2 linked regions of the Oryzias latipes genome follow. The protein of the gene in region 2 purifies or fractionates together with the protein of the main gene of each other region. This does not show direct contact. Links are inferred from orthologs where the notes say so. Each region holds a gene or a part of one and is shown on either strand. Other genes may lie near its edges.

Evidence for each region.
Region 1: the proteins of mybbp1a (region 2) and ncl purify together in Homo sapiens (affinity purification with mass spectrometry; 3 studies listed by BioGRID and IntAct, with this or other methods). This does not show direct contact. The link is inferred for Oryzias latipes from reciprocal best matches to the Homo sapiens genes MYBBP1A and NCL.

What each region holds. Positions count from the first base shown.
Region 1 is NC_019862.2:11,718,043-11,732,928, forward strand, and holds ncl (nucleolin), read left to right. Parts: upstream 1-1,651; 5' UTR 1,652-1,814; coding exon 1,815-1,832; intron 1,833-2,838; coding exon 2,839-2,937; intron 2,938-3,017; coding exon 3,018-3,120; intron 3,121-3,417; coding exon 3,418-3,525; intron 3,526-3,624; exon of another isoform or gene 3,625-3,762; intron 3,763-3,850; coding exon 3,851-4,234; intron 4,235-4,406; coding exon 4,407-4,550; intron 4,551-4,726; coding exon 4,727-4,810; intron 4,811-4,854; exon of another isoform or gene 4,855-4,911; intron 4,912-4,989; coding exon 4,990-5,113; intron 5,114-5,558; coding exon 5,559-5,695; intron 5,696-5,783; coding exon 5,784-5,910; intron 5,911-6,045; coding exon 6,046-6,182; intron 6,183-6,350; coding exon 6,351-6,480; intron 6,481-6,522; exon of another isoform or gene 6,523-6,657; intron 6,658-6,891; coding exon 6,892-7,034; intron 7,035-7,223; coding exon 7,224-7,350; intron 7,351-7,498; coding exon 7,499-7,770; intron 7,771-7,852; coding exon 7,853-7,914; 3' UTR 7,915-8,601; and 1 more. UniProt on the Homo sapiens protein: Nucleolin is the major nucleolar protein of growing eukaryotic cells. It is found associated with intranucleolar chromatin and pre-ribosomal particles. It induces chromatin decondensation by binding to histone H1.
Region 2 is NC_019872.2:24,952,351-24,968,298, forward strand, and holds the end of mybbp1a (myb-binding protein 1A), read right to left. Parts: intron 13,823-15,948; coding exon 13,688-13,822; intron 13,560-13,687; coding exon 13,478-13,559; intron 12,091-13,477; coding exon 11,959-12,090; intron 11,874-11,958; coding exon 11,805-11,873; intron 9,240-11,804; coding exon 9,126-9,239; intron 6,806-9,125; coding exon 6,704-6,805; intron 6,624-6,703; coding exon 6,499-6,623; intron 6,329-6,498; coding exon 5,980-6,328; 3' UTR 5,780-5,979; downstream 1-5,779. UniProt on the Homo sapiens protein: May activate or repress transcription via interactions with sequence specific DNA-binding proteins. Repression may be mediated at least in part by histone deacetylase activity (HDAC activity).

The sequences.
Region 1 (14,886 bases), on a different chromosome or scaffold from region 2:
TGCAAACAACAACTGGATGAGAGCTTGACACCACCAGGACTGTAACATTTGACAGACATGTTTGTGATTTCAGCATTTTCCAATAGTGAATGCACTTTGCAAAGACTAAGAGGAAAAATGTCCTCAGGAGTAAGAATCAGAGGGTGAAAGTGATGACTTGAATTGAAAAAAAAGTAGAGTTAAAAAAAAGTAATATATACAGTCATTGCAGCCATTTTTAACAGGCAAATGAGAATATAATTTAAAGGAAGTAAAATAAACATGTATACTTGTTTATAAGTGGCAGTCCGATACCATAGTTGTCCCCCCGGACAAAAACAAACAAAAAACCCCATCAACATTGAAATTTCTTAAACATGACAATTATTCCAGTTTAGTCAAGATATCATTCCGTTTAGGGTCAGATTGCCCTAGAACACTTTCACTATAAAAGGTTCCACCATCACTTCTGCTGTGTCATTTTTACCCGATATGATACATCCAACAAAAAGTACTTGTCATAAAAAATAGATCAAAACATGAAAACACATGATAAATTAGAGTGGTTTTCTTTTATTTTCAACTATAGTATGAATAACAAAATGAAAAACAAAAACTTAAGAAGCTCCTAAAAACATGATCAAAAATTACTGAAAAATTAGGAACTTGAGAACCAAAAATTCCTAAAAAATGATCAAATTATATTAGAAACTTGGTCTCTGTACCACCCATTCCTGGGACATGTGAAATTTCTTTGGTGAAGGCAGAGACTCCTTGACCACACGAAATATTGAAATTCATGTAAACAGTTTTACTCGGGTGAAAATGTACCCAGCGATAGTGCTTTAGATAACAGCCAATATAAGTAATCATTACAGGATTTTCAATGTGGTGACTAGCACTTGTACATGTGCGTTAGCGCTGAAATGATTAAGTTAAGTGAAGGTTAAACTTTTAAAAAAAAATGTATATTTATGATTGCAAGAACTATTTTGAAACAAACAAACAAAACTTTAGGAAAAAGAGAAAAGCAAACGAAGAACTAAAACAGAAGGTTCCCATAGCAGTCAAGTGTTGAGAGAAGACAGGTGGCATAAACCATCTGGTACAATCCATCTGCGCACATGGGATACAAAAGACCTTTTATGTCGGCTTAGAATTTAGCTTCGTGCGTAAACACAGCTTAATATCTAATACTTGCCTCAACACACAATAACAGCACTTTGCAACTGCAATTTATTTTGCAAAATATCGTTTCCCCACTTAAAAACAAAGCCAGGTTTCTACATTGCATCATTTTATCACTCTTTTTATCATGGTGTGTGTATGTGTGTGTGTGTGTGGAGGGGTCGGCATTGTGCGGATTTTAAACCAAACAATTTTTTGTCTTGTCCCTTTTTTTAATTTGATTATAATTTTATGCATAGCACTTTGAGTGACCTGAGTTGTAAAAGTGCTATGTAAATAAGTTTGATTTAATTGGATATAGTTACCAGACATCTAAAATGAATTATAATATTAACAATAATTAAAGAGAGAATGTTTATTCTTTTACAACTGAAATTTGCACTTGTACAGCAATCCGTGACGTTTATTATTTTTTTGTCAGCGCGCGGGCACGATGCAAAATTACCAACCTTTGATTGGTTAAGCGCCGTCATGTGGGCGGAGCCTCGTTGGAGGGCAGACCTGACCAAACGCTGTTGCGGATCCTCTGTCTTTCTCGTTTAATGTCCCACTGAGTAGACAGGGCCACGTGCATACAAGCAGTTTTACAAGTTGCATTCAGAGATCCAGATTCTAGTGTTTCTTTGAAACACTCTTCAGAAGCAACCATGGTGAAGTTAGCTAAGGTAAGATTCTAAATTGCAAATTGTGCTGTTGTTCTGTGTTGACGCAAGTATTAGATATTAAGCTGTGTTTACGCACGAGGCCTAAATTCTAAAAGTTGATGCGTTTGCTAATAATAAAACTGCTATACGTGCCAAATGTCTAATCGTGATTTCAAAACTAGGTTCGAATTGTTATTTTTGTAAATAAATTAGCTATTTGGGGAGAAACGTGGGTTCCCTCGTTTTTAGACGTCGCTTTTCTGTCGACAGCACAGCAGCCATGTTGGTGCCTTGCTGTGGATCGCAGGCCGAGCTGGGCCTGCTAACGCTAGCCCTCTACTCAAGATGGCTTTCACGCTCGCCCTCGATTTCAACTTGAAGAAAATACTTCCCCGTCTATCGATTTTCGATGAAAATTGTATTTGAAGATCGTTTGTGTTAAGTCAATACAGTCAACGATGAGATTAAGTAAACTTAATATCGTATTAAAATATTAGTGTATATTTTGTGACGCCATTCCCAACTTAGCGTAAATGCATATGTTTAGTCTTGGTTGATGGCTCCAAATTTTACAACATAATTTTCTATTTTATGATATGGTAGTTGAGCAAAAATGTTTTAAATTCGCGTTAGTTAGCACTAAAGGTGTTTAAAAAAAAAAAAGCTAGCGTGCTGCTACTCTGCCGGCCTCCCCTCCCGTGGCCCACGTGGGTCGCACGAGCTCTTCTGACTGATGCATGAGGCCAACAACGAAAACCCAGAAGTATTTTCGATGTGCAGTGTAAACATTTAGTCTTGGTATGTGTGAATCAGCCGAAAAGGACTTTAATTTTTTTGGCGTTTTTGAATGCTACGATAAGGACTGTCAAACTATTTTTCCACCTCGTGTTAGTTAGCATGTGGACCATCGTGCGAGCGTGGTATCCGGGATGCCATCATTGTCACGTGTTCCTTACAGCCTTTACTTTAAAAATGTGTGTCGTGGCAATTTTTTATTATTAAACCCATTTTTAACTATATCTTCCAGCCTGCAAAGCAGCAAATTCAGAAGAAAAAGGCCCCTCCACCCCCTAAACAGGTAGAAGAAGAATCGAGTGATGAAGACGGCAGTGAGGAGGAAGAAGAGGTAAACCATTTTCCTCCTTTATTACAAATTTTGGAATAATTTTACCAACACCCACTTACCTTTTTCTCACTTTTTTTAAGAGTCCACCACCTAAAGTCACAAAGAAAGCCACCCCAGCTAAAGCCACACCAGCTGTAAAAAATGGAAGCCAGGCTAAAAAAGCAGAAAGTGACGAGGATTCAGGTAAACAAGTTCTGTATATTCTATTTTAGACATATGGGTTAATTTAGGTTAAGATTATTTTACAACTTCATCTTTTAGTGTTTTTCTTTTATTCAAAGTGATTCATTGGGTTGATTATTTGAAATAGCATATCTTTTATATGTATAAATCAGTAAGGTAGTTTAACATTCTATCAAGATTGTGGGTTAAAAACTTTAGAATTTGCCCTGTGTCGTTATGCGGCATCATGCACACATGTAGTTTGTAGGTGTTCAATTTGTGAAAAAGTTTTTCATAATGACTCAAAATCATTTACAGAGGAAGAGTCTTCTGAAGAAGAGGCTCCACCCCCAAAGAAGGCACCTGCAAAGGCAAAAGCCCCCGCCAAGGCTGCCCCTGTTAAAGCACAAGAGTCTGAGGAGGATGGTATGTAGAAGCTACTGTTTTTTAACTATGTATGACCACACCACTTTACGTTACTGGTAGGCTGTTTTTGAGGAATGTTTTAGAAAAGTTGTTGCATCTCCTCCATTTCTTGGCATACATGTGGTTGTTTAGTACTCATGTGTGTTATGTACGGAGGAAAATCAAAGGCAGCGCTATGTCTTCGGTGCCGGTGTGTATTTGAATCATCCGGTTCTATCCTCAAACGCTGTCACATTGGTTTGGTTGGAGGGGAATTTTCGTGTTTATGCTGGAGACGTTTTCCATTTTCGCTCAATAGTTTTGATTTCTTTTTTTAAATTCCAAGATGAGTCTGAAGAGGAGGCCCCACCCCCCAAAAAAGCCAGCAAGGCTGTTGCAAAGCCTGCTGCCAAGCCCCCAGTAAAGGCTAAGCCTGCAAAGGAGTCCTCAGAGGAAGAAGATGACGATGAGGACGACGACTCAGAAGAAGAAGCTCCACCTCCAAAGAAGGCTACTCCTGCAAAACCAGCCCCCAAAGCCAAGGCAGCAGCTAAAGCAGCCCCAGCTAAAGAGGAATCTGATGATGATGATGACGAGGAGGACGATTCAGAAGAAGAAGCTCCTCCCCCCAAAAAGGCTACTCCTGCAAAACCAGCCCCCAAAGCAAAGGCAGCAGCTAAAGCAGCCCCAGCTAAAGAGGAATCTGATGATGATGATGAAGATGATGATGGTAAGTCGGCAAAACAAGTGTCAATTAACTTCTTTAACAAATATGATCAAACAGGGACTTAATACTGATCATGTATGATGTCACCACTTAAAACATCTGACAGACATGAGCTGTGGAGCTCTCAGGGGTTTGTTCAGGATGGAAAACGCATCTGCCTTCTTTTACTTTTCAGACTCTGAAGAAGAGATGGACACCACTCCCGCAGCAGCTGCTACAAAGGGAAAGAAAGCTGGAATGGTGAAGGCCAAAGAAGAATCAGAGGAGGAAGATGATGAGGATGAGTCTGAAGAGGATGATGAAGAGGAAGAGGGGGAAGGTGAGTGTTGATAAATGTTGCATAGTTTTAAAGCATAAACTCACGGTTAAACTAATGCTAAGACAGCACATCATGAATATAAGTAACAAATATTTTTGGTCTCGATTTTGCATTGAAAAAAAATTAAACATTTCCTGCATACAACTTTGTACAAAGTCTTTTTTCTGTCTGAACAGAAGCCCCAGCTAAAGCTGCAAAGAGAAAGGCAGATGGAAAGAAAGAACCAGTTCCTGCTAAGAAAGCAAAGTCTGATGGAGAAGGCAAGTACAGACATGTTGGTTTATCATTCTGAAGTTTATTTCTCATGATGATCAACAAGGGACTTAATACTGATGTGTGATGTCACCTTGAATTATTCTGAATATGCTTGGCCTTATTCTGCATTTATTGCTTTCACCCACATTTGGATTGTAAAAACTGTTGTTTTGTGTTTTTCCAGGCTTCTGCTTGTTTGTTGGAAACCTCAACTCCAACAAAGACTTTGACGAAATCAAAGCCTCGCTCAGAAAATTCTTCTCCAAAAACAGTCTAGAGATTGTTGATGTCCGGTTAGGAGGTTCCAAGTAAGTTTAAAAAAAAAACACACACGTCTTGCCCGGACAAGAATGTGTGTTAAAACCTGAGATGTAGGGGTGTTTTCCCCACAGTCATTTGGGAACCTTTGTCCTTTTAAAGGTCTTCCTGGTCATTGCTTCCTTTCATGGCTCACTTGTTTTAACTCAAATAAATATATGGTTACCCCGGTTTCAATTGCATTGCACCACAAGTTTAAGCTTTTTAAGAGTGTTGTTCAAAATGTTTGTTGCTTGCTTCACAATGTGTGATATAGCGATCCTGCAATGATTCATTTTTAGGGGTTGGAGAAGAGCGACTGAATTCAAGACAACTCAAATGTTTTTGTGATCTTAAATAAAGAAATTCACGAGTTCAGCCAAAAACCTTTGATGTTCATTTAAGGTAGATTTAATTTGAGGTCTAATTTTCTAATTTTGCATCTTGCTTCAATAGGAAATTTGGCTACGTTGACTTTGCCTCAGAGGAAGACATGAACAAGGCAATGGAGCTTAATGGCAAGAAATTCATGGGTCAAGAACTAAAGCTGGACAAGGCCCGTCAGAAAGATAACTCACAGGAAGGAAAGAAAGGTAAACATGCACCTTTGCAAAGTTTGTCTGCTAAATGTTTGAAGTCTGTATTATCAGTGTTTTTCTAAAATTGATATTGGTTCTACAGAGAGAGATGCGCGGACCCTTTTTGTTAAAAATCTTCCGTTTTCTGCCACGGTTGATGACCTGAAGGAATTGTTTGAAGATGCGGTTGATGTCCGGTTACCTCAGGGACAAAACGGTTCAAATAGAGGGTAAGAAAAAACTCAATTACAGAAGTCACTTTTATAGTTTGAAATCTTTAAAATAACTTACCAGCCTTATGCCCAATTGTTTCTAGTTATATCTTACCTTGTCCTCATATCAGCTTTTCTGTTTCTTTAATGCAGCATTGCCTACATTGAATTCAAATCTGAAGCTGTCGCAGAGAAGATGATGGAGGAGGCCCAGGGAGCCGATGTGCAAGGGAGGTCCATCATTTTAGACTTTGTTGGAGATAAGAGCCAAAAAGGTGGCAGAATGTCAGGTACTGAGTCCTGTATTGATGATATGTAACTACCCAGAACTGTTAGTAAAATCCTTTAAATATATGTACTCAGTAACTGGTTCAAATGCTCAAACCTTAAAACCTGCTTAGGTGTGATGAAAGTTAATTGGGAATTGAACAATTTCTACCCTTTTTGTTGCCGTTTAGCATCAGGAGGAGTCAACAAAACGTTGGTTGTAAATAATCTGGCCTTCAGTGCCACAGAAGATGTTCTACAGTCTACGTTTGAAAAAGCAGCTTCCATAAGGATTCCTCAAAGGGACGGCAGACCTAAAGGGTAAGTGCTGGAGAAGACGGTTATTGTTTACAATTCTAGAGCACCTTCTCATGAGCTCCTCTCAATCGCATCCATGATTCTGTACGGATTCGCACGAGAAGCAGAGCCAGTGCACAGATCAAAACAGGCTCGCCCTACATGCTTATGGGTGTTGCCCATGTCTGCTGTGCAACAAATATTTTGATTTGATGAATATTTGATAAAATGATAATTTAAGAAAGCTGTTTAAACAGTTGTAATAAAATTGTACCTGTATAAATTATTGTTTTCAATAAAAAATCTTTCTAGTGTTCTCAGTATTTTCAGTAGCTAAATACCAATTGTAATAAATTTGAATGTCAATACTTCATCAATCAGAAGCAGCATTCTGTGTTGCCTGGTAATAATGTTAGTTTTTTTTTTTTGCTCTAGTTTTGCTTTTATAGAGTTTGAGAACGCAGAGGATGCCAAAGAAGCATTGGAAAACTTTAACAACACAGAGATCGAAGGCCGATCAATCCGTCTGGAGTACAGCCAGAGTGGCGGAGGGAGAGATGGAGGCAGAGGAAACTCGGGTAAGAGCTTAGTCTTTGGATGTAATCCGGAAAGATTTTACCTGATATGATGACAATCTTGATCTCTTGAAACTCTGTGAAGAATCAAAAGATAGTCAAGTCCTGATCTGGTCAATGTTAGATCTTTAAAGTGGGTCCATTTGTTTTGTTGATTATTTTAACAGATTTTGATTTTATCCTCTCCATCAGGTCCAACAAAAACCCTCTTTGTCAAGGGGCTCTCAGAGGACACCTCAGATCAGACGCTTAGGGATTCCTTTGAGGGAGCTGTTGGAGCCAGGATAGTTACAGACAGAGAGACGGGGTCCTCCAAAGGGTAAGTTGGGTAGATGCAATGATGGGCCTTGATTTCCAATAAAAACCTAAGAAGGAGCTGTTTGGCTCATGTGAAGTTCAGTTGGATCATCTTTATCTGTTGGATCTGAATAAAACTGTAAGCTCTAAGGTGTGTGTTTCTTCTCCAGCTTCGGCTTTGTGGATTTTGACAATGAAAATGACTGCAAAGCAGCCAAGGAGGCCATGGAGGATGGAGAGATCGATGGCAGCAAGGTGACGTTGGACTACGCCAAGCCCAAGGGTGAAGGCGGCTTCCGCGGAGGAAGAGGCGGCGGTGGCGGCTTTGGGGGCCGCGGTGGCGGCTTTGGGGGCCGCGGTGGCTTCAGGGGAGGCCGTGGAGGAGGCAGAGGAGGAGGAGGAAGGGGTTTCAGCCGTGGTGGTGGACGTGGTGGTTTTGGAGGTACGGAGAGAGAAAAAGACATCTGGATCACCCAAAATGTTTTGCTATCAGTTCATTAACCGTTTTTGTTCCTTCTATTTAGGTGGAAGAGGTGGTGGATTTGGAGCAAAACCTCAGGGGAAGAAAATCAAGTTTGATGATTAAAATCTGTGTTTTACATTTGAATGGACTCTGTTTCACCATCTTCTGAACTTTTGGACATTCCAGGAAGTGTCATTGATTATTTAACGGTAAATGGGCTTTTTTGTTTTTTGCCCGTTTGCATAGACCCCTCACACCTACTGTACCCTGTGCCAGAAGCATACTTTGGACCTTTTTGAGCTTTTCAGTGTAAAGTGTGAGGACTGAATGTCCCAGAAGAAAGCCTGCACTCGTTTCCTACCCAAACAGTCTTTTGCTGAAGGATTGAAGTGGATGGAGTCTGGCAGGAAGGGTTGTGAGAGAAAAAAAAAGGAAAGATGCTTGTCCAGTCAGATATATGGTGTAAATTTAAGCAGTTTGTATGATTTAATTTTACCTTTTTTTGTACAAAAAACAAATTAACTCATTTATCCATACATTTTTGTTTTTATTTTTGTCATGCTTTCTTTAGATGTTAAGTTTTACTGTTGTTTTCATAGTCCATGCTCAGAAGTTATTGGATGTTTGTTATGGTTGTTAAACGAGGCTGTGACTGAGTCATGGATAAAATCTAATCTATGTAACAAATGTTTGTAGAACATTGAGTATTTTTTTCCTCAAGATTTTCACGATAAAAATAAACCTCATAAGTTGTGATTTTTAAAGGTTTATTTTTATTTTACATTTCATTAAATCTAAGTAAAACTTGCAGTTTTGTTCATTTGAACTTAAGTTGCCTGGTTTGAAAAAAGCTTAAAATGTTAACAAAACCAAACATGTCCTGTTTTCAAACGTCTCACTAGGGGGCATACTTGTCATGTTTTAGGATTTGTGCTTTTGTGTAAGATTCAGCCCACAAATTTAGTGTGGAATAAGGTAATGGAATGTTACAGATTTAAAAGTAAGATTAAATCTTGTGCAAATTTAAATTGAACTCTGATAGAATTATTGCTTTTATAGGGCACATACAGCTAGCTTCTCAATCCACACAAATTCAAATTTGTTTTACGATAATATACTGGTAATAAATTGGTCTATTTTAACCAATCAATGCTAAATCAAGAAATATATGAACATGGATATGTCAAGCTGAAGATATGAACTGATAGGAAAATGAAAACATGTATATATAACAATACTTTTATGTATCGTAAATGCCATTAAAATTTAAAGCCAAAGGCTTATCTGCATTTGAAAATATACAGACACGGAATCCATCAAATATTAAGTCGTCAAATAGTTTGATTACTTGATAGGGAGTGGGAGTAATCACCTGTCAAATATTACCTTCAGGGACTTTGTGCTGGGAAACGACAATATCCTTATGGGAAATCTTTCACTTAAATCCTAAATAAATGATGACAAATCTAGGACATTTGTCTAAAATCACTCAATATGAAGAAAATAAAGAATTTCAGTAAACGTCCATGAGAAACAGTGAGGCACAGAATACTATCTGCATAAATGTTGAAACTGGTTCTGTCCAGAGTCCCACACTATTACTTTGAGCACTACTTAAGTCTACATCTATGGCTTTATCCAAGTTCCTTTACTACTCCCTATAGTGTGTTTGCCATTTTCTCACTAGATTGGGGAATATATACCACAATTCACTGAACAATTTTTGCGAAGGACATTTTTTAAATTATTTTTTAACAAACCGTTTTCATAAGTAGTTGTCATAAAACGCTCATTTCAATTAGATTTTCATTTCGTAAAATCAGTGATGTCATATTCGCCATTAAAAAAAACAAAAAAAAAGTAGTGAGCATGGTTTTTGGTAGTTAAGGATTAGGGTAGGAATTCAGGCACATCATACAATTCTAAAAACCAGTGACAGAATTTTCCCAGAAGCCAATGCAAAAACTAGTGTGCATTGATGCTCACTAGTTGCTCACAATAGTGAATACAGACCACAGTGCATTGAATTTTCTAATTTTTGTTTTTATATCATCCAAGTTTTTTATCACCACACACCGGATTCACAAATAGTCTCTGTAAAATGTTCACATTTATTAGGTTCTAACTTTAGCAAATGGGTGGCGTTTATAACCAAAAAGTTGTGAGTGTGTGTCTAAATTTCATTAAAATCCAGGGCACTGGATAGTCCAGCACTATATAGTCTTTTAGGAGATACAGAGTATTGAGGGAAATCGGACACAGCATTAGACTTCCCTCTGATCCCCTTTGAGCGACCCCTTCAGGGAAATTGGATTTCCAGAAGCCTAAATACAGAAAGCAGAAATTGCACATATATGCAAAAAGTACTTCATACATTATTTTCTTTCTCTTTGTTATTGGGAAGTTGTAAAGTTTGATGGCATGGGGAACAAAAAATGTTCTTTTGTCTGTCCTACACCTCGGGAGGAGCAATGTTTCACTGAGCAGAATCCTCTGTTTGGTGATGATGGTGAGCACGGGGTTACTGTCACGTCCAGAATGTCCAGCAGTTTGCCCTATATCATGTCCTTTCTGCCATAGTCAACAGAGAGTCCAGTTTCATGCTAACACCAGACCCAGCCTTCCTGACTGATTAACTTGTCCAACCTAGATGTGTCATTGAATGTGCAGGCGCCTCAGCACAACAAAGAGAACATTACAGAATGGTCAAACATCCTCAGCAGTTTGCTACAAATGTTAAATACTGCAGTCTTCACAGGAAGTACATCCTGCTCTGTGTCTTCCTGTACAGCTGGTTGGTGTTAAATATTCAGTCCAGTTTGTTATCCAGCTGAGGTATTTGTACTTTTCAGCAGCCTTCATCTCAGCTCTCTCTAGCAGGAGCGCACAAGGTCTTGGTCTAGATCTCCCAAAATCAATGACCATCTCTTTTATCTTGGAAGAGTTAAAATCTAGGTGGTTGGTGTTGTAACAAGCAGCAAAGTCTTCTACTCCTCTCTGTCACCCTTACTGTCACCCTTAATGCACCCAACAATTGTTGTGTTGACAGTATACAGTTCTGAGCTGTAGAAGTTAACGATGTACGGGGTGAAAAGAGCAGTAACCCTGAACCCCGTGGGGTTCCAGTGCTGCATACCAGTGTCCTTCCCTCTGATGCACTGTGGCCTGTCAGTGAGGCACCCAGTCCTCCTAGCAGGGGTCTGGAATGGTTCAGAAAGAGGATTTTCACTGTTCTAGGCCTCTCAGCCAGATGGGAGTGGACTCTGTGTATCTGGTAGAGAGTTGCATCCTCCACACATACGCACCTGGTTTGCAAACTGCAGGGGGTCATGGACATATTGCACCTGGAGGCAACCCAACTGCTTTTGGGCAGAAGGCGGGGGGTGGGAAGGGGTGGGGGCACACTCTTCATCACACTGCACCTTCTGTGACTGTGGTAGATCTCTGATTGTAATATCACTGGTTTAGTTCCTCCCATGCCCGACCATGTGTCGTAGTGTTTTTTTGGCAAGAAACTGAAACCCACATTGCTCCTGGTGGTGCCAGTGTTTGGGAGCGGAGCTGCCATCAGATTGTGAATGGGTGTCTGCATGGGTAAACAGGGCTGGGACTATAAAGCACTTTGGGCCTTCAAGGAAGGTAGTAACGTGCTATTTTGTTTACGTCATTTACCTTTTACCCTGAAGAGGTCGCCAGTCCGTTGCAGAGCCATAGGACCACAAACACACACTGACATGCACACCTAGGGGCAATTATAGAGTCATTAATTAACTATGAAACATGTTTTTAGACTTTGGGAGAAAGCTGGAGTGCCTGGAGAAAAACCCTAAAATGCTTATTTACAAAGTAAGGTCCCAGCTATGACAAAAACATCCATACTTAAAATGCTAAGTTTATTCAGTTTAACTGACATTAGCTGGTGACTGGGTTTCATCTGCTCAACAATGACCCTGAGCTTTGGCAGCTTTTTCATGTCAGTGACACCCCCACATGAGGGACAGTGGTAGGCTGTCATCCAGCACCAGCTTCTGAACAAAATCTTTGTTGCTGAAGGTGGCTGGGAGGAGGCTGTGATGATGGAACCACTGAATAACTCCATTTAGTTGTTTGCTAACTCAATGCTTGAACACTGTCAGACTTCCGGCTACATTTTCTGTGTGGCGTCTGCCGTCTAGGATGACCTGAGTGCTCTATGAAGCTCTGTCAAAATTGTCACTGTTTTGTTTATACGAGCATGTAGGTTTTCGTGAGTTATTTAGTCAAGCAAAACATTGATAAAAATGCAAACAGCCCTACTTAATATTTCTGCCAAGATATACTGTAGACTAATTAAAATTCACTTTTTTTTAACTTCTGCTAAGAAGTGCGGTTTAATTCAATGTTCAGAAACATGCAAGTGAATCTTTAATTCTCAAGGGAAAATTGCTCTAGGCAAATTAACTTGGATTGACATGTACTTATCAGATTAACGCAGTGACCTGTTAAAACATTTATTTTTGTGATATCCTTGTTTGTTTTTCCAACACTTGACACACTTCACAGTTGGTTAACTGGCATGCAACCTCACCCAACCTGCTCTACCAAAAGAATGATTTATTTAGTCGTGTAAAATTTATAACTAGGTGACTGACATGATTCATTTGCATTTTTTTTTATGATTCTGCTTCGAATTTCAGTAAAACTATTGTCACATGTGCCAAAATGCCACAGTGTGGTGGCATTTGTTATCGGGAGGCGGCAATTAAATTTTTACACGCTGCCCAGCGGCCGACGAGGTCTTAAGACCTGGCAGGCGGGTGGCAGGAAGGCAGCAGCGGGATAATTGACTAATAGGAGGGTCTCCAAGATCCCTAAAATCGTCTGATGATTGGCCGATTTCAGACTGCCACCATGCAGCCACCCCCTGCCCCCGTGCTGTCGCCTCACTGCCACTGTCCAATCGTCAGAAATCGTATGGTAGGAGTACGGGCAGTCAACAATGGCTGGGGTTCAAATAGTAAGACAGCATTGATGCTGCACAAAACTCATCATGACGTTGATAGCACCACAGTGACTCAGAGGTCTGCGTCTTGACGAATTGCGTTTGATTCTGAGAAGAACACGAAGAAGACAGAACATTGTGCTTTCTTGGGAGGCATGTTATCTAAGAATGTGTAAATTGACAAGATTATAATGCGCGCTCAAAATCTGAGTTGCAAAAGATCAGTGGTGCTATTCGGCACCACTGACCACCTCTGTTGGTTGGCTGTTGGCCGGTGCCACTTGATATGGACGGCCGCTGTCCAGAGACATCTAAACATCGTCCAGTCAGAGCTGCTGCCGGTCGGGGTCTGGCTGCCACCACCCTGTGGTTGGTTTCATATTGACGTCATCCTGACTGACTGCCGCCATCTTCATTCAACATAAGATTACCATTGATTACTGGTAATCTTTGATTAGATGAACGTTGCAATGGTAATCTAATGTTGGGTGTATTAGGTCAGAGAACTTGCCTCAGTTTCTCTGAATCTTTGGATGCTGTTATGCATTACAGTGTTTCAGTAGCCTCTGCCCATTTAGACTTCTGAGAGCCATCTATGACATGTTAGCCATGACATAATCTGTCATGGATAATTGTAATGCACACTTAAAATAAGTTGCAAAATGTTCTCTTTTTTTGTTACTTTTCAGTAATTTGTTGCACTTGTCCTAATTATCTTAAGACAAGTTTTGTGCTTCAAATTTAAATTGCAACACTGAGCATTTGAAACCAGCTGTGTGCTGATGTAATACATGTACTGCATTTCTGTTTAAGGTCATGAAGGTGGTGATGCTCTTGCAGGCCTTTGAAGAAAGTTGAGTCCTTCTGTTAAAGTCTACATCTCAGTCTAGTTCACTGATCATTAAAAACTTTCTCCAATTAGTGTCAGTAAATATGAAGATCCTGGTAGCGTATAGTGGAGAACGATGGCTGTGTTCTTCTTCAAAGCTGACAATCATCACCACAGTGACAAATGTTCTCGGGAAACTAACCAAAAAAAAATCAAAGATATTTGGCCGCAAAACATTTTCATCCTGTTTTTATACTCTGTAATGCAGCATGTTAATATTTTATTAATGGGATTCATTTCCTTTTTTATTTGCAGACTTCCAGAAGGACTGGTTCAGCTGAATCTGGATGGACATAAATAAAGACAAGGCAGTGTGGTATAGCATAAACAAATAATCCTTTTTAAAGAATCTGTCGTGTTTGTAAATGTTCCTCTTACTTGTTGGGTTTAAACCAAATATTTATTTGCTTTTCTGCACAGATTTCCAACTTCTTGTGAAATATAATAAAATTAAATGAAATTCCTAAGTTGCTAATTGTGCATTTTTAAATTATCAAAATGTGTTGAATCCTTTTAAGATAAATTTGCATGATCACTTCTCTGTGACTGAGATATTTGTTTCTTCATACTTCGTAAAAGCTGCCATACCTGCTTAATTCTCTTTATGAAATTTTTCCAGCTTAAACCACTCATTACTCACTGACAGGTGACTTCTGAATTGCCAGGGAATGAGGATATACATCTATGTAGAAACCTGTCTTCAATCAAGGAAGAAAAAGAAAAATTCTGTGTCTTGTGAAACTCCCTGAACTCTTGTGACTTCATTCAGCCTTCAACTGGGCACAGTTTTCCATCAATCCTGGTTTGTTATTGGACTTTGTTAAACAGCAATACCGACATTACTCTGAATAAATAAACAACAAATCAAAGATAAAGTCTTCTTAGGATGAACTTGATGACCCACACTGATGAATGACTCGGCCACACAACCTTGAACGTCATTTCACTCTGAGGTTTGACATCAGATTGTTTCACCATTGTTCAGAACAAAGGCAGAATTGAAATAGAAAAACCTAAAACCGTGCTTGTTTTTTTTTCCAACACTATTCTCATGAAAGCTAATATGAGGAGGTCAAGTTTTTCTTTGTTTCTTCTCCTTTTCTCTGTCTGATTGTAAAAAAGAAATGTACTTCTAACCCACTTTTTTAAGGAGGTCAACTTATGCTGCATATCATGTTTACATACTAGCAGTATCCACCTTTGCAGTTTTACTGTAAACGATGAA
Region 2 (15,948 bases):
TGTTCTCCCTACCATGACAAAGGTAGATAAAGGTGAAAAGATTTCATGTAATCCATGGACACCAGTGAAAATCACAAATAATTGAAGAAAAAAGATTCAGCGCACTGCCTAGTGGGTCTAGATGACCCAGCTCACAACGGTAAAGTGCCTAGGATAGCACAAGGGTCACGGATAACAGTCAGGTCTGAGCCAAAACATTTTCAGATCAAAGTTGGTTTAGAAAGTGACTCTTTCACTTCACCGGTGGAAAGGCACAGAAGGAATGTTTTACATAGAAGCAGTAAAAAAGTGTCAAAGTAAAATCAAGTGTACTACAGTCAGAAAAGAGATTAGAAATGCAAATGAACGTGCTTGGGATGAACTTGGAGCACTGTCTTTAGACTAGACACCAGTGGCGATTTCTTTAAGACTGCAAGGGAAGCTCGGCTTCCCTTATAATGTCACAAAATTAATGGTAAAATATGTACTATTGTATTAACATTTTATTGACTAAAATTTTGTTAGAAAACGTTCATCTCAAAGACGAGTTCGTTCAGAATCAGTTACATATAGCAGGTCGGCTGACTCGATTTCCTTCTCGTACATTCCCGCAGCGTCACAGTGCATTTCCCTATTGAAGCCCAGCGTCCATTGACTTCAATGGGGCTGCTTTGAACCTTTTTTTTCAGCGCTTCAAAACTAGAATGTCATTGGATAAATTATGCGATTATGTCCCGCCCACGGACGCTCATCGTCTCTGGGGGTGAATGGGGAGTGGGATGGCCCGGACTTCGAGCTTCTGTGTGATGATTGGAGGGTCTGTCGAAAGACTGCATCTCCTTTTGACTGACAGCAATTCTGTACTATAAGGAATCACTGAAGCTATTCGCGCTCAGTCCCATCGCGCATTTCTCAAGTTCAGTCGAAATAAAAACTGCTGCAACCTATTTTTTTGACATTTGCTTGGGTAAATTGCTTGATTTTCATCATACATTTCACACAATTATACACCACATTCCTTGTTTCAGTTTTACAAAGTTTAATTATTTTTTTTTAGATCGTTCATTCATTCATTCCTTCTTTCATTCATGAGCTTCCCCTCTCTGACAGACCAGTAGCCGCCACTGGTAGACACTGACGGTGATTGGAAACCATTACAAAGCATTGCTCCGGGTGGAGAACCGTCCAGAATGCGCCAGAGCTTCACTTAAAGACCCACTTCGATCTATTTGATCTATTTTCAAAGTGTTCCCAGTTTAAATACGATTATGCCATTTTTAGCCAAACTCTAAGAACCAGTGTGATTTTGTAGGACATAGTTTCTGCAGAGTGGCACTAGTTTGCCACCGTTTTCCCTCCCTGTTGTTGAGAGCTGTCTGTTTACATGCTCAGCCGCTAGATTACAGCCCCTCACAACCCCAACCTAACATTACACATAGCAGCGTTGAAACTATCCAGCCATACAGGTTTGAGCCATGGCAGAAAAAGCAAAGATGTACAGGATCTAGTCGTCTACAAGTGGATGGATCAGAATGGAGCAGAGCAGGGAGACTTTGACCTGTCGATATCACAGCCACAAGCTTTTTCAAACTGCATTTTTTTCATCTGCTCCTGATTCACAACAATTTAAATAAAGAAATACGCCGAAATGCAATTTTAAGCTTCATTTTCCTACTATATAACCTCCGTCCTCAGAAATAATACCACAAGGTTATGTTAAAAACACCATTTTCATCTGAGTGGGTTTCAAAATAAATTCTTTTAAAATGGTGAGACATCATAATTATTGGGCCAGATTTGTTCTCCTGTCTTGTCATAAATTGACTGCTTTTCTTGTAAAGCGATGTGTTGTCTGGTGCTGAAGAAGCAGTGATTTATTTTCAACGCTTTTACCGTCAAGCCAAATGCTGGAGACAGGAGATAAACAAAGGTTTAATAACCCCCACCCCCAAGATGGGCCGAAAAACTCAAATCACAGTCCCTCTGTCTATGTGGTAAAGTCATGATTGATTCAGAGGTTTTCCTGTATAGTTCAGCTCCTGAGAGCTTGAGACACACAGCTCTGGGATTATGGAAACAAACAACAAAACACAAGGTTTATTCAACATAGTCAGACTTGAGCCGATTCCCTCCACTGACAGTTACTGCGGTTCAGAGGGAGTTGAAGATGAGATCACTGATGGATGGGGCGGCTGCCTGCTAACACTCCTGTAGATTTATGGCTGCAAGGCTTCATGTCCCGTACAGTAATCCATTTAGGGGACTCTGGATCATTTTTCTGACAGTGGAATTAAGGTTCTGTGCGATTGCTTACCTTTGTTTATGACACAAAGGTTTGCAACTTCCACTCCCGTGCAAAGAGCAGTGACATTATTTCTAATAAAAATAAAAGCCTTTGTGGAACAAAGAGGTGACTTTCCATTCTGGACCAATGATTTCCATTTTATTTAAAGAAGCCCATAGATTATTGTTTGTAAAACATAAAAATACAACATAATTTCAGGAATTTTTTAAAATTTCTTTCGCATTTATGATACTATTGCACATTTCACTTTATTCAAAGTCAATTTAAGATCTGCTTTGTAATCTGAAGCAAACAGGAAATTGTGATTAAGGATTAGGAGGTTCGGCAATTAGAGCAATTATTGCTAATTAGATGACAAAGACGAGAGGCCATATTTTATTGTGCAGCATGCAGAACTTATGGCAGGTGCACACTGTTCCTCCTCAGACAGGCCTTTTAACCTGGCTCTGCTGTGCACACTTTAAAAAGGCATAAACATGTTTCAGGAGTCTCACATTTTTATTTTCAGTATTTTGCATTCAAATCTGTCCTAAATTTGTGCCATGCAGTAAACAAAAAATTTACAGAAATGCAATTTTTATGTAAACTATGAATAAAATGAAACAGGAAGGAGTCACAATACAAACAAACAAACTTGAGGATAGAAGAAGAGGCTTTGTATTGGCTTCCTTCCCTCATGAGCTATAAAATGAAGCATCTAAAAGCAGTTGTTCACTGCCAGGATTTTAAATACCTCACAAAAATCAATTAACACAAAGGGAAGCTCATATTTTTTAGGGGACAGCTTTCTCTTTCTTAAGGTGTGGAGTTCTGGCTCTGCAGTACAAATTTGTTAATGTATTTTGCTTAAAAATTAGTTTTAAACAAGCTAACCCATCATTTTTCTTTAAAAATGTTGCTAGTTCTGCTTCAAATAACCTCTATAATTAACTTTAGAACCAAACTGAACTGTTGGCAAAACGTAACTACTAGTTTTAGAGCTGGATTTGCCAGCCAAATAGTTTAAAAAACGTAAATATAGGTCTAAAACTACATCTCTAAATGTAAACGCCTTTAAAATAAGCATCAGTGTTGCTCTGGGCCATGTGTAAATGGCCAAACGCTTACTTAATTTGTTTTTTTTGTGTCAACGTATAGCTGTGTTCACAGCATCGCTTTTGTGCTCCCGAGAGGAAAGAAGAAAAAGAGGTGAAAAGTTCTGGTTACAGTCTAGATGAATAACTTTGCATAAATTTGCAATTTTCTTCCATTTCACAACAAGATAATGTAAGCTAAGATAGTGTTTTTTTCCTCAGAATTTATAGCATGCAAGATGATTTTTTAGATTTCACAGCTGTGGATTTTGCTAAATAAAATCTTTTTTTTTTTGTGTGTCAGTGATGTCATATGAAATGTAACTAATTAGAAGACAAACAGGTTTGGATGCACTGGAATGCTCTCACTAGATAAAACAACAAGAAATATGATTTTTTTTCCTGAAAAATATTGACTTTGAAAAAATATTTAATGTCAAATTAAAGCTGGGAAGATTTTTTTTATTTCAGAGGTTTGAGCAAATATTTAGGCTTATTCGTTTACAATTAATTTCACAATTTTTTTTTATAATAAAATAGAATATTTGAAAAGACAAAGAAGTTCAAATCAACTGGGATGCATGCCATTTTCCAGACAGATTGTGTTCCAACACCTAAATCTCCTTCAATGACTGAACTCATTTGTGGAGTAGAAAGGTTTTTGTGTGTCTGTGTGTGGGATGAAAATATGGAATGATCTTGGAAACAAACACAAGGACAGTCCAAACGTTGCCATATTAAAAAAGAAAACAGTTTGGTCACTATACAGTGGGGATGGATGAGTCTGGCTGGTACATAGGAGTTTAGGGAATGGTGATTATGTGAACACAGTAGTGGGGATAAGCATAAAAAACTGTTATTTTAGTGTTCCTTTGTTCATGGAGAGTGTGTTGTGGTGATATTTTTGAAGAGTTTAAGTGTATGAAAAGCATAGGGGATGGATGGTTTTGTGCCTACTCCTTTTTCAAATGCCTAAACTACTTTGTTAAAAAAAGATTTTTAAAATTCTTTTTTGCCATTGTTGTTTGAGTTCTGTTATTAAAGACCCACTCCAATCCTTTTTTGATTTATTTTCAAAGTGTTCCCACTGGTTTTTTAATTATGATTATACTGTTTTTTTTTAGCAAAAAATCAACAAAATTGTGTCATTTTCTAGGCCATAGTTTCTGTAGAGCAGCAGCAATTCATTAGAAACGAAGACGTAAATGGATCTATTTGTCTGCAAGTGGATGCATCATAATAGAGCGGAGCAGAGAACTTGTGGGTCTTTTTCAAACTGAGTTTTTCATCTGCTCCTGAGTCACAACGATTTGGATAAAGAAATACTTAAAAATGCAGTTTTTATGTCCTATATTTTCAGAAAAATGCCATAAAAACATGTTAAAAAAATATTTTGTACCTGAGTGAGTGTTTAGGAAAATTTCTTTTGCTTTCACTTTGTCATTTGCAAGTTGGACAAAAAAAATAAAACAACGTTCAGATTTTTGCGACCTATTTTGCTTTATCAAGTTAGGTTTAGTTTCCAAACTTGATTAACTGTAGTTTCAAATAATTTAAACGTTTCCTATTGCAGCATTTTTCTTTGTCTTATTAGTAAAAAATTTATTTAAACACACCTGTACTAGAATCCTGGACTTTTATGTGGTTAATGTCAAATTTGTATTCAGAAATCTTGTTAAAATTGACTTCCTTTGTGGGTTGCATTGAAACACCAACAGTAACCCACTGTTATTTGCCAATTTAATCTTTAGAGGCCCCTTCTGATAAAAATTGTGTTTTCTACATGTTCTTGTGGCATTTCTCTTATGATGAAGAGCATATATTAAGGATATTTGGCTTAAAACTGCATTTCTGAGTATTTATTTGTTCAAATCACTGTGAATCAGGAGCAGATGAAAAAAATGCAGTTGGAAAACGAGCTAATTTGTGATGTAGAAAATGCAATAGGCTGAAACTCACAAGTGAATTTCTAATGAACTCTTGCCGCTCTACAGAAACTATGTTCTAGAAAGGGACAGTTTTTATTTAAATTTTGGCTAAATCCGACGTAATCGTAATTAAAACATTATTAGGAACACTTAAGTAGATTTAAAAGATGATTGGAGTGGATTTTTAAATTTTCAGTCATTCATTTTAACATTTGGATCTTTCTTCTTTGTAGTTTTTTGGATGCTGCTTGCATCAAAAACAAAAACGTTCACATTTTCTCCCTTTCTAGAAATTATCAGCTCACAACTTAAACCAATTAATTCCTAAAATAATTCTTTGCTATGTTTATTTGCTGAAATGCACATAATCAAATGTTTTTCCACCATCAGCTTCATTATCCTTATATGTCTGTATAAGAGTAGAAAACACTACTTTACAGTCTGAGGTTGTCTTTCTTTAGACGTAACAGCTGTTCAGGATGAAGAGCTTTGAATCAATTTCCAGGAAGAAATACATTTATTATTGTAGACATTTTCTAATGAACAACAGTCACTCATTGGAAAAATATCCTCTCATTTCACACCTCGCAGAGCAAAAGTTCCACTAAAGATGTCAAAATGTTTTTCAGAATTGAAAAACAAAGAAAGTCTTTTTAAAAAGACGTTTCAGAACTTTGTGTCCTCTCAAACAGCATCACACTTGTCCTCCCTCTTTCATCTGCTTGGGCTTCTTCTTCCTCTTCTTCTTCTTGGCTGGGTTGCTGTCAGACTGTGTTTTGCTCTTCTTGGCAGGGCTGGACTCTGAAGCCCCAGCACCTTTGGCAGGTCGTTTTTGTTTGCTTTTCTTGTCATGCTTCTTTTTGGCTTGTCCTTTCTCTGCTCCTGGTTTGTTAGCGGGGGCTGCTGTGTCTGAGGCTGGTTCCAAAGCAGGTTTATTGCGGTTTATGCGTTTTTTTGTTTCTGGCAGAAAACCTTTTTTCTTTTTGAGAGCTTGCTTCTGCTCCGGCTCCTTGTCAGGCTTCGTTTTCTCAACTTTGGGCTTCCTGGAAAGGTTGGAAAAGAGTAAAGGTGATCATGAAGGATTTGAAAAACAGGGGAAAACACTGCGAGTGTGAGTAGAAATGCTGTCAGGAGGGCAAATATACTGCTCATTTGGCTTGTGAATGAGGATCGCATTTGTAGAGAGGTTTAAAAGGACACTGGCGGAACGTACATCACTCCAAAGAGCTTCATCACAGCCCAGTACGTGTCCTCCAGCTTTCCGGTGCTCTTCAAAGAGGCGGTGCTGGTCAGGGACTGCAGGGTCGTCTGGAGGGAGTCCAGGTCCACAGACAGCTTCTACAGACGGCGGAGGCAGACAGTGAGTCTGGACAGTGACCGTAATAACTCTTATCCCCTCATGATCTCATCCCACCTACCTGCAGATGAACAGTTTTGATCAGGAACTGGCAGAGCTCCAGGACTTTGACCATCTTCTCTTTTACCAACTTGTTCTCAATTTGGTCAGCCTGTGCAAGAATCTGAAAGACAATTAAACAAATTCAACCATTTTTGTCATACAATTCTGTTTAAAAAGCCTAATGCTACAATCACGCTGAGGATGTGACACACATTCAAGAACACGCATGGTGTTCACACTTGACAAGCAGAGAGGGGATTCTTCTTCTTCTTCTTCTACTGTTTATTACAGCTTGTTTGCCACCTACAGCTGGAAGAGTCTTGGTGCAAAATGTCAAAGCAGTGCAAGTCTGGCTCCAGGCTTTTTCATTCACAACTCTGTTCCGATGTATGAAGGATTTTGCTGTCACATACTTAGAGGCCAAAAATGGTCTCACAAATTGTGCGTAGCTACGCGTGAACGCAAGAGGTTTGAACGCAGAACGTGTATTTATGTTCGTATTTATGTGTGCAAACATAGACTTTTCATTGAAAATAACCGCTTGAATGTGCATTGCCAAAAACGTGGTGAACGCAGCTCAACTGCTCACAGATATTTAATCTCGACAGAACCATCAACATATTTTTTGATTAACTTATTAGGAATATTATTACTATAACAACAAATATAGCATGGTGTGTTTAGAGCAGGGGTTCTCAAGAAGCGGCCCGGGGGCCAATGGCGGCCCGCGGGAAGATTTTTTGTGGCCCTTAATTAATCCTAATTGATTTGTTATTGAACCAGCTGAACATTGCTTGGAAAAATATTGTTTTGTGGTTTCTGGCGACATCTGCAGGTAATTACACTCTGTGTTAACGGTACAGTGTATTAATTTCACCACAAGAGGGCAGACAACATTTTCTATGTCACCGCCTCTGCGAAAGGAAGAATTGGAATCGATGCTCTCATAAATCAATATAAATAAATTACAAATCATAAAAACTAGGACAAATTTACCGTCGAGGAGCGCAACAATAAGCTCCAACAACTACGAGGCTTTGCTGCACACCAGAGGTTTACAAAAATGGCTAAATCCAGTGACGCTGTGACAGAAGCTAGCTGTAGCAAGCTCTTAAGTGATGGGGAGTTTGTAAAAAGAATGTATGCTGAAAGAAAAGGTTTGAAGAAAAAAGTCTGTCAAATGACATAATTACTAAACGAGTGGAAGATCTGCGGGCAGCAACCTCCGACCGCAACGGGGAAAACATCTGGAGGGCCTGGTTAATTGTACAAATGACACTTGGCCATTAAAGTTATTAAAAACGACTTTTTTCTGTTTTCACCAAAATTGGCCCCCGGTCTAACGTCAAGTTCCTAATTTGGCCCTCCGCTACAAAAACTTTGAGAACCCCTGGTTTAGAGGTATTATCCCCTTTATTGATGCTCAGTCTCCCTCACAGCATCAATCTTTTGGGGGTTTCTAATGACTCACAACACCTAATAACCTAATATTCTCAGACTGCAGTTAGGGGTTATGGAGCAACAGGGAGCCAATTAAAAGACAGGCGACACATAAGGGGAAGTGTGGTCATGCTAGCCAATCAGAAGAGGCCCTGGATCAACAAAGACGAAGAAACACCCCAGATGCTTTGTTAGGGCGAAAAAAAAATTGGTTTACATTGTGAATAAAGTTTTTAGAGTGTGTGCTAAACTTCAAGCTGATGTAAAATAACATCAGCTTGATGCCTTGAAATCATTAAAAATGGCCTTTCTCAGAAAACAAGAGTCTGATGAAGATCTGATTTTATGGATGTTTGTTAAAGAATGACAAGAACATCCAGTCTATGCTCATAATGACACATCAATAAAAGCAGCTTGACGCTCAAATGAAGCACTTTGTTTTTCATCATTAAAAGCATTCAGACGTCGCTGGAGTGGCTGTTTATTGGAAAACACAAAAAATAAGCATTTGATCTGTTTAGACACAAATGAACAAGAACTCAGAGAAAAGTGGACTGAGAGATTGAGAAAAACGTGCAGAGGTGAAGAGGTTTAGGAAGGATTTACAGAGGCGCGTAATTAGATGTGTGTTCACCCTGGAATGTGGAAAGGTAGAGGACACACGGAGGGCAGAGAGTGGATCGCTGCCTCCTATCATTAATCACAGCAGCTAGAGGTCTCATAAACTTTCTTTACTAATATAATTGAAATTTTCAACAGCCAAAGGCATGATGGTGTTTCAACGATTGAGAACGTTTAGTTTCAGAAAATGTGAATTTAATCAGATTCAGAGGATTAGAGAACAAATCTCAAATTCGTCTACATTTTAAAATGACAAACTCTAGATTTTTTTTATTTTTTTATTTCTTAAGCTGACAGAGGGAGGCTCATTCTTGCTCATTCTTGGGTACATTTCCGACGATGCCGATGCTCTTCAGCGGTGGATAACTGAGGAAACTTACCCCTAACAACTGCTCGGACACTTTCTGACAGAGCGCCGTCCATTTGGCGCCGCTCAGAAGCTGCCGGACCTCGCTGGCCTGCATCCCTCGCAGCACCAACACACACGCCTGACCCTAAACACACAAAGCAAGACGCACACAGAGGGCACAGAAACAAACCAACGTGAGTCACTCTGCTGAGGTTTGCATAAAGGATGGGATCCGTTCATCAGTGAATCATTACTGTTGTGGTATTTTCTGAGTCTCAACGTATTTATCAGAATCTTTTGGAGAAAGATGTGATGGTTATGAGCCCAGTCCAATCCCATACACAGCTCATGTCTGCCTTTTTGAGTATTCAAGTCTCTTTTCTCGGTTTTCCAGAGGTCATAATAAAGAATTGGAATAAAATTTAACATTTAAAATCACAGAAAAGTAGTTGTTGGGTACATTAATACATTTGGATCTTTTTAGTGTGGGCGTAAAAAATAGACAACTAAAGTGCTTGAGAGGGAAAAACCTCAAATCCTAAGCAGTAAAGCGATATTTAGCCCCTAGAAAAGAGCGGTTCAGTGCACTCGCTTAACAGATTCACTATATATGTTGCTGAAGGGGAAAGACTCATTTACATAAAAGACTTTAAAAAAATGAATTTACATTTATTGTGTTACTTTGCTTTAAGCTATAAACTTTCTAAACCCTGAAAAAAAGTGTTGAGATCATGTTTTTGCACCAAAAAATGGGAATTAAAAGCAAATGATTAATGCTGATTATTGCTGCTATCATTAAATCAGTACTTAATATCAATAAGTCTGGGAAATGTAAAGGCTGAAAATGAATGAAAGGGAAGTACGGGGGGGCCTTGTGACTGCATAATGGGGCCTCTGGGTCTTATTTTAAGAGCTGGAATTACTGATTAGATCCTACAAAACACATCTGAAAGGCCGATTTTAGTAAAAAACTGGAAAATTTGGACCAAACTGACCTTAAAACCACAAAGCTTCTAAAGTAAAGTGAGGACTCGCTGGTATAAATTTAAGACTGATTTTAAGGACACAAAGATGTTCTAGGGTTTTTGGTTCTTTTTTTGAAGAAGATTATTTAGATATTGATGAATCCTAATAAATCAAAACTAAAGGATATGCTTCAAAACACAAGTGACCTGCGCATAATCCTCCTCCTTTCAGTCAAAATAATGTTTTCAAACCAGACCATTCCTCAAAGCAAAGGACAAATGTAAAGACTAAAATCTTAAGAATAAATGTTTGTTGATGTTCAATAGAGGGAAATTAAAAAAAAACAGTTTTTCCTGCTGCAGCCTCACTAACGACTATTCATTAAACTCAGAAGCATCTTGTGTTTTGTTCTGTTTTATCAAAAAAGTAATCCATTAGTGAAACTATGAAATGCACCTTAGCTGTAACCTTAAACCCTAAAACCAACACAGAGCTAAAAAATAATAATAATTCCTGAATGGATACAATTCTACAGAAAAACGCCTAAAAACAATTACATTTTTTAAATCTAAAACCTTTACCCTGTCATTTTATAAGCCTGTCTCAATCAGGGTAAGAAACCCACAATAATTACATAAAAGGTTGAACATTTCATAGTAATAGCTTACAGCAAATAGATAAAAACACACACAGTGTGTCAATTTATCGCGTTAATCGTGATTAATTATTCAATCTCATTTTTGTGTTCTCAAATATAAAAAACAACCGTTTACTTGCATGAACATTTTATTTGAACTGGGCTAAAAATGTGTGAGTGCACGTGTTGGTATGTGTGCCGCGTCGCTGTGGTGACGTCGTCAATGTGCGACTTTGTAGTTCTTAACAGAACTAACGCTAAACACAGCCACACCGCCTAATGCTGTTATCCATTATGTAAGGGATACAGCCAGTTCCTTATCATAAATGAATGGGGTATGTGGAGGCCTCATCGCATTGAACGGTAAAAACTGTTTAATATTGTATGTCAACATGGATGTTATGGATTTCATTTTGTAGTTTGGGGTCAATATTTTAAGGTTCATTCAGAAAAGCGTTCATTGATGTGTTTAATTTCCTAAAAACAAAAACCAAAAAAACACCTTGGTGATGCTTAAAAGTAAAGGTTGGAAGTTTATGATAATAAAATTTCATAAAGCTACTTTTTGTTCTTTTTTCATCTTTTACTGCATCACAATATCATACATTTAAATGAAAGTACCTCAAAATTTGTCTTTTTGCAGCAATTATTATGTTTCATTAAGAACAGATTAATTCAATGAATTGATTACAGATTAGGATTAATTGCAGCAAAAAATGAAAGGCATGACAGCACTAAAAGCCATGCGGTTTCCTCTAACACTCGCCTCCCTATAGGATGTAGGTGCTGACTTCATCAGGAGATTCTGGAACAGGGTTATCCAGCCCTGTTCCTCTGGGAACCCTGTCCTGCATTGGTTTCAATCCCACCCTGCTCAAACACACCTGCCTCTAATGGCCGCCATTATCAGGCTTCTGCAGAGCCTGACGCTGAGCTGAATCAGGTGTGTTTAAGCAGAGCAACATGGAAAACATGCAGGAGAGTGTTCCCCAAAGACCAGGGCTGGGGAACACTGATCCAGGGTCCAAAGCAAATATGATCTATGGAATCCAACAATGTCCGCCTGATTTTCTCCTCATTTCTTTGGTTAGAATGATGGGTTTTTACCTGCTGATGGTCCCTGATGCCAGATGTGATGTGCTGCACGGCTGTATCCAACAGGTTCACACACAAAACCTGCACGAAAACCCACGGCCATCAGTTACCGCAGCAGCCTGACCCACATTTAGGTTTGCTTTGATGAATGCACGCTTGGACTCACAGGAAATCTGTTGAACAGGTCTGTAAACATCTGAGAGGTCAGAGGGCTCTTCCTCCTGCTCAGGAAAGAGACCAGAGCTTCTCTGAAGACACCGGTGACCCGCTCCACGTCCACTTGGCCCATGAACGGCAGCTAAACAGAGAGGGACACATGTCAGGGTTTCTTCACACCTAGCAGGGCTGCAAAATTTCCTTTAGGTTTAACATTTATTTCTTTATAGTCTACAATCTATACTTTCTGGTTAAAAAGGTTTTTTACATTTTCATAAAATAATTCTTCTCAAATTTACAGTCTGGGTTTTTCATTCTCTTTAATACAATCCTGATCTGACCCCATAACAACCAAGCTACTATTTTTGTCAAATGGATCTAGTTTTATCCAAAAGAAATTCTGTTTGACTGTTGAGTCATAAACTCTGATAATAGGATTGATTATATTATTGTTCTTTCAAGACTTTCAGAAGGTTTCATTTTGTTCTCTTTTCTTCATTTGTGAATAAAAGCTTTTCCGTTGAAAATGTCTTTTCTTCACCCATTTTCCAAAAGCGTATGTCAGACAGCTTTTGTTAAACAGATTCTTTTTGCAAAAAGTTGTTCAGAAAAACTACGCTTATTGTTTTTGCAGATTATTAGCATTGGTTTCATGATGTAACAAGTAAATAAATAAAAAAATAATCGAACATCAATTTTGGGATTTTCTCTTTAATGCAAAGATGTCCAATCTTTTTGCAAAGAGGGCCGATTTGGAGAGGTGAAAATAATTAAATCATCTGTATAATATAGTATAATATAGATATATAATATAGAATTTAGTCAATCACAATCAAGAAACTGTACAACCAGATTTTCCAAAGCGCTGTGGGCCGCATAGTATTCATTTGGTGAAGGGAGTCAGTGGGTTGGTGAAAATTTGAATGCGGGTCGCATTTGGCTCATGGGCCGGACTTTGGACATGCCTGCTTTAATGCATTTTACCTCTTGTCGTAGTTTTGACCTGCAATGCCATCCTTTCTGGGAAAAGTGCTAAAGAAATAAGCTTTACTTACTTACTAAATGTTTTTGAACTAAAGGCTTTCCACCTCAACAAATGAACATTTAAAATATACTAAATGGATTTGTTTTAAAGCAACAACAAATACTAAAGTAAAGGAGAAGATTCCTGTGAAGATGACAGGTGAACCAAAAGGAGGCCAAGTAATCCAGGACACTTCATGACCCAATAAAAATCCAGGAACAGACCTGACTGCTGAGCACCCAAGACACTCAGCAGGTATGAACGGCCTTAGTTTTGACCCCGAGGTAAAGCGAAACCTGCAGTTAATTTACTTTTGTTTTAGATTAAAATGAAAACAGAAATAAAATATTTATTTATTTATTTTATAAGAGTATCGGTAAAATACCGGATCAAAAAGCAGTATCAATAAGAGTAGTAGTACCGTTAAAACCTTAACGATACCCATCCCTACTCGAATGATCTGAGCAAGGCAACAACATGAAAGGAAGTCAAATAATAAACCTACATTGTGTCCTGTGGGTTTCTGAGCCTCTTTGGCTTCGACAGGAAGAGCTCCTCGCAGAAGTTTCACCAAATACAGGCATGCACTGAGGAAAGGAGAGGAACACGATCAACATGGAGTCTAACTCTAACTTCAATTTATACTTTCTGTCTCTTTTTACCACAGGCCTATTTTTTTAAACCTTTCCAAATGACAGTGGAGACAGGATTCTACCTGAAGTAGTAGAGACTCAGCGAGGAGTCGGACAGTTTCTGGCATTTGGTCATCAGCTTCTCCAGCAGGTCATGCAGCTCCCCCTGCCTGTCACCTGCGGTTCTGCAGTAACTTTTAGACCTACAGAGCTGGTTCCTGATAGAAAAACATGTTTGTGCCCTTTAATCAACTTCATCCCATTCAAAATACAAATGTGATCAATGAATGAAGCTTAGGGGAAAAAAAAGGAGAACAAATGTTTGACATTTAAGTTCAGACTACAAGAAACTCTGCTGATAGATCAAACTTTCAAACTTTATTTATAAAATAGCGCTTCTCATGCACTTTGTGCAGCTCGAAGCGCTTTAACACTAAAAACAGTAAACACACAACATTACAATAAAAACCCCAACCCACCCTTCACCCTTCCCACACCCCTCCATTAAACCACATGACCCATGGCTCCCACGTACAATGAAATATGACTATGTAACTGTAAAAGAATAAATAAATAAATAAATAAACAAGTATGGCTTAGCTCTGCTGTGAGGAAACAGTATCTGGGAATCCTTTCATACCAGGAGCCAGCCCGGCCACCGGAACATCGCCACAGTGCCCACCCAGACCGGGACAACACCGGGGTCCCCCTCACAGCCAAAAGCTGTAAAATTAGACCCCAGCCGCCCCAGCAAGGGCAACAACTGCAGCAACAACCGCTGACCAAGCCGGCAAGCCCTGGAGGAAAAGATCCCCTCAAGAAACACTGGGGCTAAAATCATAAGATGCTAAAATTAAAAACATAAAAAAGAAAAAACATAAAATTGAAAATAAGATGCATAAAATTAAAATAAATACATAAATAAAATAGCCTATACTAAAACTAATAGAATAAATTAGCAGTTAAAATCAACTAAAAGCTAAATTAAAAAGGTGGGTCTTGAGCCTCTTCTTAAAAACCTCTACTGTCTCTGCGGCCCTGAGGCTCTCCGGAAGGCCGTTCCACAGGCGAGGACCGTGATGGCAGAACGAAGCCTCACCATAAGTTTTGGTCCTCACCTTGGGAACAACTAAGAGGCCAGTACCGGAAGACCTCAAGGTCCGCGAGGGCTCATATTTTAAAAGAATATCATTTAAATAAGAAGGCCCAAGACCATAAAAACATTTATAAACCATTAAAAGAATTTTAAAATCAATCCTGAAACGCACAGGGAGCCAATGCAGCGATTTTAAAACCGGTGTAATGTGTTCCCGCCCTCTGGTTCTCGTCAGAACTCGTGCCGCTGAGTTCTGTAGAAGTTGTAAGTTTGAAAGAGACTTTTTGGGTAAACCAGAGAGCAGGGCATTACAGTAATCTAAACGACTGAAAATAAAAGCATGCATTAGCACTTCTGTGCTGGCAAGAGAGAGGAACGGGCGGACTCTGGCAATGTTTTTGAGATGATAAAATCCTGTCTTAACGACATTTTTAATGTGTGGGATAAAATTTAGCTCAGAGTCAAAAAGTACGCCCAGGTTTCTCACACATTGAGAAGGTTTAAAATTATGAAGATGTGGTAAAATCATCTCTCTCTTGTCTTCAGAACCGATGATTAAAACTTCAGTTTTGTCCTGGTTGAGCTGTAAGAAATTTTCTGCCATCCACAACTTTATATCTAAAATGCAGTTTAAAAGAGTGTTGACAGGTTCCAGGTCATCAGGAGACACGGCGATGTAAAGCTGTGTATCGTCAGCATAGCTGTGAAAGTCAACGCCATGTCTCCTGATGACCTCCCCAAGAGGCAACATATACAAATTAAAAAGTATTGGCCCTAAAATTGACCCTTGGGGAACCCCACAGCTTATTTCGTGGATTCCTGAAGAGCACATATCCATACTTACATAAAAGTGTCGATCTGTCAGGTAAGAGTAAAACCACTTAAGAACATTTCCAGAAAGGCCCACTAGACTACTAAGTCTGTCTAATAAAATCTGGTGATCTACTGTATCAAAAGCGGCACTAAGATCCAGTAGCACCAGAACAGAAAGTTTCTGTGAGTCGTAGTTTAATCTTAGATCATTAACGATCTTTAAAAGAGCCGTCTCTGTACTGTGGCTTTTCCTAAAACCAGACTGATATTTTTCTAAAATTTTTTGGGCATTTAAAAACTCATGCAGTTGAGTAGCGACACTTTTTTCTATTATTTTACTTAAAAATGGTAAGTTGGATACGGGTCTATAGTTATCCAGATTTTTTGGATCTAATTGACTCTTCTTCAGAAGGGGCCTCACCACCGCCGTCTTAC